3 linked regions of the Oryzias latipes genome follow. The protein of the gene in region 1 purifies or fractionates together with the protein of each later gene. This does not show direct contact. Links are inferred from orthologs where the notes say so. Each region holds a gene or a part of one and is shown in the gene's direction. Other genes may lie near its edges.

Region 1 (3,500 bases):
TGATGGTAAGCCATCAAAGATAAATGTATTTTTAAAAATCTGTCAGAAAATCATCATCCTCGGCGTGAAATACGCCCCTTGATTGGCATGCAGAACGGCCAATTGAACATCCTCTGAACATATGTCACTGTGTTTAAAAACACTGAGCTTCTTTTTACTTTTTTTCTTCTTTCTCTGAGAAACCCGACACACAGCGGGGCCGGCAAAGCCCTGGTTTCCTGGGGAGGACCCCCGCGGCCCGCAGGAGGGTTTCTAAACCTGTCCCTGTTTGCGTGCCTCCTCGATTAGAAGCGTAGCCCCGTCTGACCCAGCCGTCCTGCCACGGCGCCTGCTGCCGGGCCCGCGGTTCAAGCCCACTCAGGCAGCAGTGTCTTTAAGCACGGAGCAGGGGCCGCCGTTGGCTCAGCCTTGGTTAACCCACCCGCGCTTTAGGAATGTCATGGTCCCCCCATTTTTACAGCAGAGCATGAAACGTGACTGTCAATGCTTTCTGTATCCATAATGAAACGCTTTGTCTGTTCAAATTATGTATTACTACAAAAAGAATAATACACACAGCAAAGCTATCTTCTCCAATATATATATTTATATAGATATATATCTATATATATATAGATATATATCTATATAAATCTATATATATATATATCTATATATATATATATATATATATATAGAGAGAGAGAGAGATAGATAGATAGATAGATAGATATCGATAGATAGATAGATAGATATCGATAGATAGATAGATATCTATAGATAGATATCGATAGATAGATAGATAGATATCTATATATCTATATATATATATATATATATATATATATATATATATATATATAGATATATATATAGATATATAGATATAGATATATAGATATATAGATATATATATATAGATATATAGATATATATAGATATATAGATATCTATCTATCTATCGATATCTATCTATAGATATATATATATATATAGATATCTATCTATCTATCGATATCTATCTATAGATATATATATATATATATATCTATAGAGATATATATATATATATCTATAGAGATATATATATATATATATCTATAGATATATATATATATATATATATATATATATATATATATATATATATATATATATATATATATATATATATATATATATATATATATATAAAAAATATAGGACGGCAGTTTAGCTCAAGGGGTAGAGCAGGTCGTCCAACAACCGAAGGGCTGGAGGATCGATCCCCGCTCCTCCCAGCCAGCTGTCGCCCCCCGGGCGCGGCCAGCCCACAGCCCACCGCCACCACAGGGAATGGGTCAAATGCGGAGAAAGAATTTCCCCATTGTGGAATAAATAAATTAAAATGATTAATTATTATTATTTATATATTACTGTAATAGAAAGAATTGAAACACTGGCACTAACGTGCTGGAGTTGAAGGGTTAAAGCCAAAATTCCGATTTTGTTGTCGTAGGAAACGATTACCGTACCTAAAATGAGGGAGAAGTCTGATCACTGACTCCATCTTCGCGTGTGTTTCAGTATCGAGTTTGACCGTGACTGTGACTACTTTGCCATTGCTGGTGTGACCAAGAAGATCAAGGTGTTTGAGTACGGCACCGTGATCCAGGATGCCGTGGACATCCACTATCCTGTGAACGAAATGACCTGCAATTCCAAAATCAGGTAAAGGAATTCATTCCTCGACAGAGACTAGGTTTTGCTTAAAACTGTGCTCCATGAATGAAAAAAAAAAAAGAATTTCAGATATGCACATATGAACAGGAAAAAAAAAAATTTCTGCCAGCTTTGGTTGACAAGAATCTACATTTGAAGATCTGTTTCTTCATTGCAGCTGCATCAGCTGGAGTAGTTATCATAAGAACCTTCTGGCTAGCAGCGATTATGAGGGAACCGTCATTCTGTGGGATGGATTCACCGGCCAGCGGTCCAAAGTCTACCAGGTGTGATGACTAGAGTTGAAAGTGTTGTGATAAAACTGTTCATATCCTTTTATCTTCTGACTGATTAGCCTAATCTGCAGTGACACCCTCCACTGTTGTTCTTTTCAGGAACATGAAAAAAGGTGTTGGAGTGTCGACTTTAATCTGATGGACCCCAAACTTTTAGCTTCCGGCTCTGATGATGCTAAAGGTAAAGATTTGGCCCTCGTCTGAACACGTCATCCTCATCAATCGTGTTAGAGATTTCCAACATTCTTTTTCAGTAAAGCTGTGGTCAACCAATCTGGACAACTCAGTAGCGAGCATCGAGGCTAAAGCTAACGTATGCTGCGTTAAATTTAGCCCAACATCCAGGTATCATCTGGCATTCGGCTGTGCAGGTAATTTCTTCAATCCTCACTTTATCTGCTTATTTTTCAGTTGGTTTAGTGTTTTTCTGCATTTGTTAAGAGGTTATATTAATTGAAATATCTTCCCACATCTACTTTAGTTATTCTGTTTCTGTATTCTGCAAGAAGGAACTAAACTCTGCTCTTATTTTGGTTCATGTTGTGTGCTTATTGAATAAAGCGTTTGGCAAAATCCTTAACAGCTTTTGTCGTCAATATAATATTACTAAATTAATTAAAAAACTGTAAAAGTGGAATCGTTCAAATTACCTTCAACAACCCCAACTCAAATTATAAACCACTCACTTTTATCACAAGTATTTTGGGGGTCTAGTTTCTCTTCTGAAATGCTTGTACTCTATAAAATTAAAGATTTTGTTAAAAATAAAATGATATAATTTTCATATGTTCTTCAGTCAAAGTTGGGTAGGGAGGTATGATTGTCATCGGCTGCATTTCTGAATTTCTTTGGTTGGTAACCATAAAATATTACATTTCAGAATTCTATGGGCACTAAACTCTCGTCATTCAGGAATTATAATAATTCTTTAAAAATGTCTTTGGAGACTTTTTAAGTCAATTTTAGTGCATTCTTCTACCAGATCTTTTTCATAGTTTGATTTTTGCTCTGTAAAGAAATTCTAGAGGTAATTTCTTAAGTTGTTTTTTTTTTTTACTTCTAATTTTTCACAACAAAAAGCACTTTTTTTTAACCCCTGAAAATGTTGCATAATGTAGGTGGAATTTATATATAAAAAAAGTCAAAACAGACAAGCTTTTAGAAAGAAAAGAGAACTGTTGCTCTCGCTTAAGATTTTGCAATTTCGGCTATTTAGATACAAAATACAAATTGATTTTAAACAAAGAGAGAGAGAGCCTAACTCCTTTTAACAGAACTGGATACAAACAGTGTTTTATTCTTTTTAGAAAGTAAAGGGACAATGTAGTGTCACGCTAACATATTCAAGGTTTTTCCTCAGTTAAGGAGCATTAAAAATGTTTTCTGTCATTGCTATATAATATTGTATTTCTTTTATTTTATTCAGCATCACATCTCAACTGTTTTTCTTTTTGTTTGTTTGAAAGACAATTAATCCTGAACAATCCAAAAGAACTTTATTATGTCCTGACAGAAGAATATCTA
Region 2 (4,164 bases), on another chromosome or scaffold:
AGTAAGATCAAAATGGGACTTTAAAGCACCGTAAAAGGGTAAACAAAAGAGATCCAGGAGAATGTGTCTCCAAAAAGGATTAAAAAAAAAGGTTTTACGGTTCATTGTTAAACAAAAATTACGGGAGAAATGCCACTTCTCAAAACATTGTACGACTTTTCCTTCAGTTGTCAAACACACAAACTGCCCTGTCCTTCTGGATAAACACACAGGCTCTTTAGAGCAGCCCAAATTGAATGAAACATCTTAAACAACCATCATATTATATTTCCGTGATTCTACCTTGGACTGTAGTGCTGGCTGTGCCTGGTGTATAATTTATAGTCTGCTGTGTAAATCTAAATGTGCATCTAAATACCATTAAGCAGGAAGAAACCTGTATGGCGCTCTGTGTTATTGAGATTGAGTATGAGCTGCTGGGGGAGGAGAGTCAGGCTCTGGGCTGTACATTGACCTCACTCATGTAAAAACATTCTTTTGTGTTTCCTTCACCGACTGAGGTTTTAAACCTGTTTCAGTTGACTGTAAGCCTCACAAAGAACTTCACGTCCTCTGTTTTCCTTCTGTGTGTGTTTCTTAGTTTTTTTACATGGTGTCCTAAAACCACAGGTATGTGTATTCCTGCACGGATATACGTCAGCATTGCTCAGTGCTGCTGCTGCCATGTTTTCTTCCCAGTTACAAAGGAAGAGTTCAAAAGGAGTAAACAAGATAAAGTTCCTTTAATTTCCGCTGACAAAACAAGAAAAACATGCCACGACTTTCGTGCTGGGGCAAGTTTTTTATTTTTTTATGAATGGACACCCCCTCCACCCTGTTCCTCTTTTTGTGAATGAAAAACAACTGGAAAATCAAGTAGAAAAGGCTCGCAGGCAGAAAGGGAAGCTGATTGGCTCACGCGGCAAGACCCCGCCTATGGTTGCTAGGAGCCAGACGTTCGGCGCTCTGATTGGGGCGCGGAGTGAACCGAGACTTCATTCATAAGTTGGTGCATTCACCCGGACAAAACGGAGAAATTCGATCTCTTGCAAAGGAAATCCACCAATCCCGAAGCTCCACTGTGGAGCTGGAAGAGAAGTCTCTATATTATCACCGAACCGTGTGATTTGACCGCACAGCTGGCATTAAACACCTCCCAAACACGTTTCAGAAAGTTTTACTAATAATAAATAAAGTTGTGTTTTAGGGGTTTCTGTGCGTCAAGAGAGACATCTATGGGCAGACTTGGCAACAAAGACACAAACTTCTTGTTCATTTGTAAATAAAAACTGACGATAAATCAATGTGGATGAAAGTGCGCCTGCGCCATCAAAGTTTAAAGCAGTTATAGAGTGACACAGATTTGTGAGGAGGCCCGCAGCCCGCTGGGTAATCGCTCGCCATCACTTCCCCTCGGCATTTTTTTGTGAATGGAGCTCATTATGCATGCAGCTTCCACGCAGCTCCATTCACAAGCCGCGCTCCCTCCTCTCTGCAGGCTGCGTGGGTCCCACTAACGCAGCCTAAATGACCACAAACGGTTAACGGATGGATTATAAGATGGATGGATATTTGGACCAGCAAGTGCCTTACACTTTAGCAAATGTACGTATGCCTCAGTTCTTGTTTTGAACTCCTACTTTTGTTGTTTTTCTTCCTCCTCCATGGCCCGACTCTGCGCTCCGCGTTGCGTCTGCACGAGTTTTGGCTTGAAGGCGCAGCTGTGCGCGCGGTGGAAAACTGTTTGTCAAAGCCTTTTAAAGACCTATTTCGAAATCTGCACATATTAAAGGATGGCATGTGCTACATTTAAACGTGTTTGTCGAAGCTTCCCCCCTACTTCTTTCGGTTTAGGATCGCGTTACTCTGTTCCAAATGGTCACTTTGCGCGTTTGTTTATGTGTGTATATATATATATATATATATATATATATATATATATATATATATATATATATATATATATATATATATATATATACACACACACACACACACTCACTCCTTTCCCATCTCTGGGTTTACAGAAGTCGCAAGGAAATGGGCCCCTAAATAGACTGTTGATGGCTGCAAAAAGGAAATTCATGGATACAGAATTACCCCCTCAGGAATCTGAAGGTAACATTTAGGAATCTGTGTCATTTCTTGATCTGTGAGTGTATTCTGATGTCTATAAGGATGTTGTGACTAAATTTTTCTCCTGCTTCCCTTCAGACCTCTTCCAGGATTTAAGCCAACTTCAAGAGACATGGCTCACAGAAGGTGAGGCTGCTTTCCTCCTCAAATATACTTTTATGTGTTGATGAATTATCTGTCTGACCACACAACATGGCCATCCTTTGGGTTCTTTAAAAGCTTATTTAGAGAAACGAAAACTTTTTTTTCAAAATGTAGTATTGTTTTCTTTCATTTTTGGTTTGGTTGAGAAGCCCAACGGCTCTGATGCAACACATATGCTCATAACCCACACAACCTCCCCCTGCATCTGAAAAAAAAAGTGTGAGTGAGCACAGACGGCACATTATTAGCTTTGAGCATGGCCTATTTTGGCCACATTGGCATGTATCGTGAGTGCCAGGCTGCAGCCAAAGCAAACAAACTGACTGTTTGGCTTGTGTCACTCAAAGGCACACAGTGATGAAATGAGGCCCAGCCAGGGGCAACTGTCTGCTTGTAGACTTAATATGTTCGCTGCTGACATGAACCTTAATGGTGTCATTATACTGTTGGGCTGTTGGTCATTGTGTGTTTCGGGGGCCAATCTAGAGCAAAGAAAACATGGCTGTGTGGGTTTAAGTGAAGCATACAATGAGGTGTAAATGTAGTTGTTTGTGCTGCTTTGATGTGGAGGTTTGGAAGAAGAACGCCACTCTCTTTGGACATTTACATTCAACTGCAAAAGCCACTGAGGCTGGATGAGTGCTGCTTCAAGTCTCCTCCTGCTTATCCTCAGAGCTTGCTTCACTTGAGCGTGTCTGTGCAGCGCAGCCAGGGCTGTTTCACATTAATGTGCAGGAAGAAGACGCTTTCTCGTGCTCACCTTAAACGTTAATTGGAAGCATACATGCAGAAAGCTTGACATCCCGAGGACTTCGGGAAACAAGGTGGTCCGGTCTGGAATTTAAACAAAAGTGTTTTGGACACTGGAAGCTGGTGGGCTGGAAAACAATCTGTTGGTCAGTTTTGAAAATGTTATTTCCAGTTGACATAAAGAAATACATGTAATTTTCAAGTTGGGCTTTTTAAAAGTCTTTTTGTCAGTTTTATTTTTTGGTGTTCACACCGAAGTGGTGCTTTAGAATATTTTGCATTTAGTCACACATCTACATGTTTCACGAACTCTGTACAGTCTGTGCCACGCACTCTCGACCTTAGATAACCATTCATCCAGTAAGTTGAATGAAGAAAGACTTGCAGACACAACATTTTAATAATTGACACATCCCATCAGGTGTCGCATGGTCCCATCATATCCGTACTGCACCAAAATCTGCTGAACCTGGTCCACCATGCTTAATCTGGGGTGATCACTTAACAAATGCTCTGTGATTGGTCCCAGTGCACAGTTTATATTCCTGCAAGAGACAAAATATTACAAATGCTTTTAAAATGATTAGAATTGCAGCTTATTTGAATAAAAACTGATTTCATTCATGTGTTGTTAGATGTGTAGTACAACTGGATTATTGTGCTGCAGGACTCTAACTATGTCTCAGATTTATCCATAACCTGCATCCCATTGATGCAACTTTCTGATGAAAATGCTTTTTTTGTTGGTGTTTTTAACATGTTCTTGCAGCATCTTTTTTTCATGATGGACATGATAAGGAAAATGAACTACTGCCTCTCTGCAGAAAGTATGTCATAGAAAACAACACGTTTTTTAATTTAAGCTAAAAATGGCACCATCATAATTAAAATGACCAGTGGGAACACTTTGAAAATAGATCAGACATGATCGGAGTGGGACTTTAATGTAAAGTAATCTTAGTAATATGTTCATAAACCTGTTAAACAACATTAAAATTGGCAGGTGGGTTTTGCCATGCTATGGGATGATCTTTGAACGCAAATAAAATACAAAAGCCTCAGCCAACTGACTGCATCAGCCACCAGTGTTGTGTGAGGACCATTCTAAGAAACACGAGACATAAAAATCCCCAGAGATGTGTTCATCCTCTGTGT
Region 3 (4,109 bases), on another chromosome or scaffold:
TGGATGGGACTATTAGCGTGGAGCAACCCCGTCACCCCTTCCCATCATCCCTTTGTTTACACTCTCACCCGCTAGCTTACAGCCCCTCCCACCCTCAACCTAATACTACTGCTGCAACAAAAATGACTAGCAATATCAGTTGTACAGTTTTGATGCAGATTCCAGACGTTCTCGGATCTATTTGTCTACCAGTGGATGCATCAGAATGGAGCAGAGCAGGGAGCTTTTCAACGTCACAAATTAGCTCTTTTTCAAATGGCATTTTTTTTTCATCTGTTCCTGAGTCTTTTGAATTAAGAAATACTAAGAAATGCAGCGATTGAGCTTAATTTTCTTTACATATGTCCTCATCGCCAGAAAAATTACGCAAGAACATGTTAAAAACACCCCTAAAACACATTTTTGTTTTTTACCAGAGCTGAGCTCTTGGCGATGCACGTTCAAGCAACCGCTTTTAATGTAAAGTCTATGTAAACGTGCATTTAACGGCCTCTCAGATTCGAAACGTCTGCCTTCCAGAGCCACTATGCAAGGTTTCTACGTTTGTTTTCAGGTTCTATGTTAAAAATTAAACCATGTTGAAATGGGAATGGTCATGTCATGACGAACGGGTGACGGCCTTTAATTCATGGATTAATCATCATAGTAGCTTCTACGTCACGCTTACAAGCTTTTTCCAAATGCATTTTCTTCATCTGCTACTGATTGTAAGTGATGATTAAAGCAATACTAAAAAAGCCATTTTGAGCCTAATTCTCTTCATATATGTCCTTCATCATGAGAAAATGTCACAAGAACGCATTTTTACCATTTTCATTGAAGTCAGTCTTTAAGAAAGTCGCCTATAAACCCTATAGACCTGGTTTTTGTAAAGCAGTATAACTATTTCATGTTTACCTCCTTTTAAATGGGATGATTATGCCTCGTTCCATAGTACAAAATAACATTAAAATGTGTTTTTTTGTCTCGATAACTTTCATGAACACACGTTTAATTGAATTTATTTATTTTTTTAACAATTAAATGCGTTTACAGACGTTTTTGTAGAGAGCAGTGAGCAGGGATCCCCCTGCTCTCCTTTGAGTGGCATTTCAGGAGGAAACACGTTCGCAGCACAGCACGTACAGCCGTAGTCGACTCCGTTTCACCACGCGCTGCATTTAGATTCCTGGGGGCGCGACCACAGCTTGTTGCTTCCACGTGACTTCAGGGGAGACTGGCAGCCAATCAGGAGGCGAGTTCTCCCTGACGTCAGTGGGCGGCCCCCAGAGCGCTCGCGTATGTGAGCTCGCAGAATCCCCCCTCCCCTCCCTCGTGCCCTCCTCCCCTCCCTTCGCCCGGTAGGAAGGCTGCTCGCTGGCTCCGTGCAGGCGCAGTGCGTGCAGTCCGATCCGCTCAGCTGGCTTCCTCTCCGCTCTGAGTGGACTCGATTCCCCGCCACGTAAGAAGCACAGCGGTGTCACGGGGGTGAGGATGTCCTGCTAAATCAAGGGATTGGCCTGGGAAATTCGCCGGCCGTCCCTTCATTCCTTCAAGCAGGAGACCCACCGAGAAAGACGGAACATTTCTCACCCGTTGGACGAACGGAGACTCGCTGAAAAGAACCAACCAGCAGCAGTGACTCTTTCCGGATGGGGGTTTCTCCTTTGCGGTCGATGATTTTCACCGTGCACGGATGCGAATCTGGAGAACAAGGCCGTGCAGTGAACCTGGTGGTACTCGTTAGCCGAACAAGCTAACTAGTTAGCTTTGTGTGTGTGTGTGTGTGTGTGTGTGTGTTTTTTGGCTAGCTTTCATTTGTTCGACAAAATATCAAAGCAACTCTAATTAGTCCACATGTTCTTTATTATAGCCATGTTCAGATAGTACATTTCCTCTGTTTTTTGGAGCCAAAGCTAACATATTGTTTCCGTTTTACGAAACGTGTCAGAACCGGCGAGATAAGCTAGCAGACGAGCGGTCTTCATTCATTTTGAAGGCTAACTTTTTGTAGCCTTTGTTGCAGCTTTGTCTCTTGCTCGTTCGTGACATTGCAGCACATTGCTGGGAATATTAGTCTCAATTTGCATTTTTTTTTGAGATTCAACTAAATTTTTTATTTTATTTTTTAAAAATTATTATTTTTATAATTTGTAGATTAAGAGAAGTGAATGAATTGTAGTGAAAATGCAGTTTTTGTTGTTGAATGAAATCGAAGGGTCTGTTTGAGTATAAGTGTTTTTTTGTTTGTTTTGTTTTTTATATTTAATTCAAACGGACCGGTTGAAAAATCGTGAATTATTGCTAACGACCCCCCTCCGTGCCCCCCTCCTCGTTGTACGGAAAAGCCCCCCCCCGGAATTCGCGGCTCCATCACACGCAGTTCCTCATGAACATACAGAGGTCAAATCCTATCAATATTTCACGCTATGGGAGGTCGCGACACAAATCCCACGATTTCGACAAGTTGACCTGCTTGAGGACCACTGAGTCTCACCAGAGCTTCAGCCCCAACCTCGGGTCCCCCAGCCCGCCGGAGACCCCGGCCTCGTCGCACTGCATCTCCCGCATCGGGGACTACCTTTTGTTGGAGCCGCTGGAGGGGGACCACGTTTTCAGGGCCGCCCACCTGCACAGCGGGGACGAGCTGGTGTGTAAGGTGAGTACCCCCCCCCCCATTATAATGCTTTAATTTTTCCCCCCTTCGTTACAAATGGGACGCAGATACTCTGCTCACGCGGGATGTTTCCATGTTCTGCTGCACATCCGCCAGCTTTTGAATAATTGCTTGGGCTGTAAATAGAGCTGACAGAGCAGCCGAATGGAAAAAGTGAATGGGGTGGGGGTGGGGGGGGTGAGCTTGTGTTGCATGATGTAACGTTGACAAAGGAATCCATAACCACACACACGCACGCATGCAGCCCTTTCCTCTTTCAGATTTCCCCCCTTACCTGTTAATCTGCTGGGATTATAACCTTGAATTTAGGACGGCTGTGCTCTCACAAACATTTCGTGAACATTTTATTTTTTTTCAGTGCAGCAGACATTGACTTTTGCATATTCCAGATTATGTCCCTTAATCTGGGTTACGTGACTTGATCATTTGCAGCGATGGTCGTTCTCATGACACGGCCTGCACCTTTTCTTTTTTTTTTTTTTTTTTTTTTTGCCTAAAAATGGCGTTTTATACCCATGTGGCGGAGTTGCGGCCTTTGGCACCGCCAGTGAGCTAACGGGCGCTTGACCCCGTCTGCTTAGCGCTGACCTCGATACGGCAGCCATCGATTCTTACTTCCGGGATTGATTTCTCAGCTTGGGATGAGCGGAGTGTCTTTGTATTGACTGAAGGGAGAGAGAAAAAAATGGTGGAGCCCTCTCACCTGGTCGTAGGGATAGTCAATTGTGCGTTGCCATGGAAACAGGAGACACTGCAACCCCGGGCTGCAGCAAAATGCCATCCCCTTATATCACTAACAGTCAAAAACAGTTGTCGGGGGGGGGGGGGGGGGGGGGAGGAAGCGAGGTCTAAATATCGACTGCCTGTTTTTAAATTTCCAGGTTTTCGACATCGGCCGGTACCAAGAGTCCCTGGCGGCCTACTTCGCCCTGGGCCAGCATCAGCACATAAACCAAATCCTGGAGATCTTGCTCGGGGAGACGCGAGCGTACGTCTTCTTTGAGCGGAGCCATGGCGACATGCACTCTTTTGTGCGCACCTGCAAGAAGCTACGGGAGGACGAGGCTGCCAGGCTCTTCTATCAGATAGCCTCCGCCGTGGCGCACTGCCACGACAACGGACTGGTGCTCCGCGACCTCAAACTGAGGAAGTTCGTCTTCAAAAACGAAGACAGGTGAGCGGCAGCTTTCATCCGCGTCATGTCTCCGCTTACACCGAGGACGGTGTAAGCGGAGACCGTGCACAGAAAGTGACACGCGTCTCCCAGATGGTTTTTGGGAATGTAAAACAAGATCTCCTGCCCCAGTCGACAGGGTTTATTAGCGCATACGTTACATGCACAAAAACAGATACCCGGTTGGTTCTGTAGGCCCGGCTTTGGTGAAGTTTAGCATGCAAAACGTGCTGGAAAGGGGAGCATTTTGCATGGCAGATTATCTGTCAAAGGCATGCC

What was found. The genes of interacting proteins can lie anywhere in the genome.
Region 2: the proteins of cop1 (region 1) and etv4 purify together in Homo sapiens (affinity purification with mass spectrometry; 5 studies listed by BioGRID and IntAct, with this or other methods). This does not show direct contact. The link is inferred for Oryzias latipes from reciprocal best matches to the Homo sapiens genes COP1 and ETV4.
Region 3: the proteins of cop1 (region 1) and trib2 purify together in Homo sapiens (affinity purification with mass spectrometry; 4 studies listed by BioGRID and IntAct, counting the BioPlex papers as one, with this or other methods). This does not show direct contact. The link is inferred for Oryzias latipes from reciprocal best matches to the Homo sapiens genes COP1 and TRIB2.

The regions. Positions count from the first base shown.
Region 1 is NC_019875.2:19,751,432-19,754,931, reverse strand, and holds part of cop1 (E3 ubiquitin-protein ligase RFWD2), read left to right. Parts: intron 1-1,545; coding exon 1,546-1,689; intron 1,690-1,858; coding exon 1,859-1,967; intron 1,968-2,075; coding exon 2,076-2,157; intron 2,158-2,230; coding exon 2,231-2,347; intron 2,348-3,500. UniProt on the Homo sapiens protein: E3 ubiquitin-protein ligase that mediates ubiquitination and subsequent proteasomal degradation of target proteins.
Region 2 is NC_019877.2:18,210,446-18,214,609, forward strand, and holds the start of etv4 (ETS translocation variant 4), read left to right. Parts: upstream 1-1,364; 5' UTR 1,365-1,527; coding exon 1,528-1,584; intron 1,585-2,006; coding exon 2,007-2,097; intron 2,098-2,193; coding exon 2,194-2,241; intron 2,242-4,164.
Region 3 is NC_019882.2:2,597,931-2,602,039, forward strand, and holds the start of trib2 (tribbles homolog 2), read left to right. Parts: upstream 1-1,309; 5' UTR 1,310-2,368; coding exon 2,369-2,638; intron 2,639-3,537; coding exon 3,538-3,830; intron 3,831-4,109.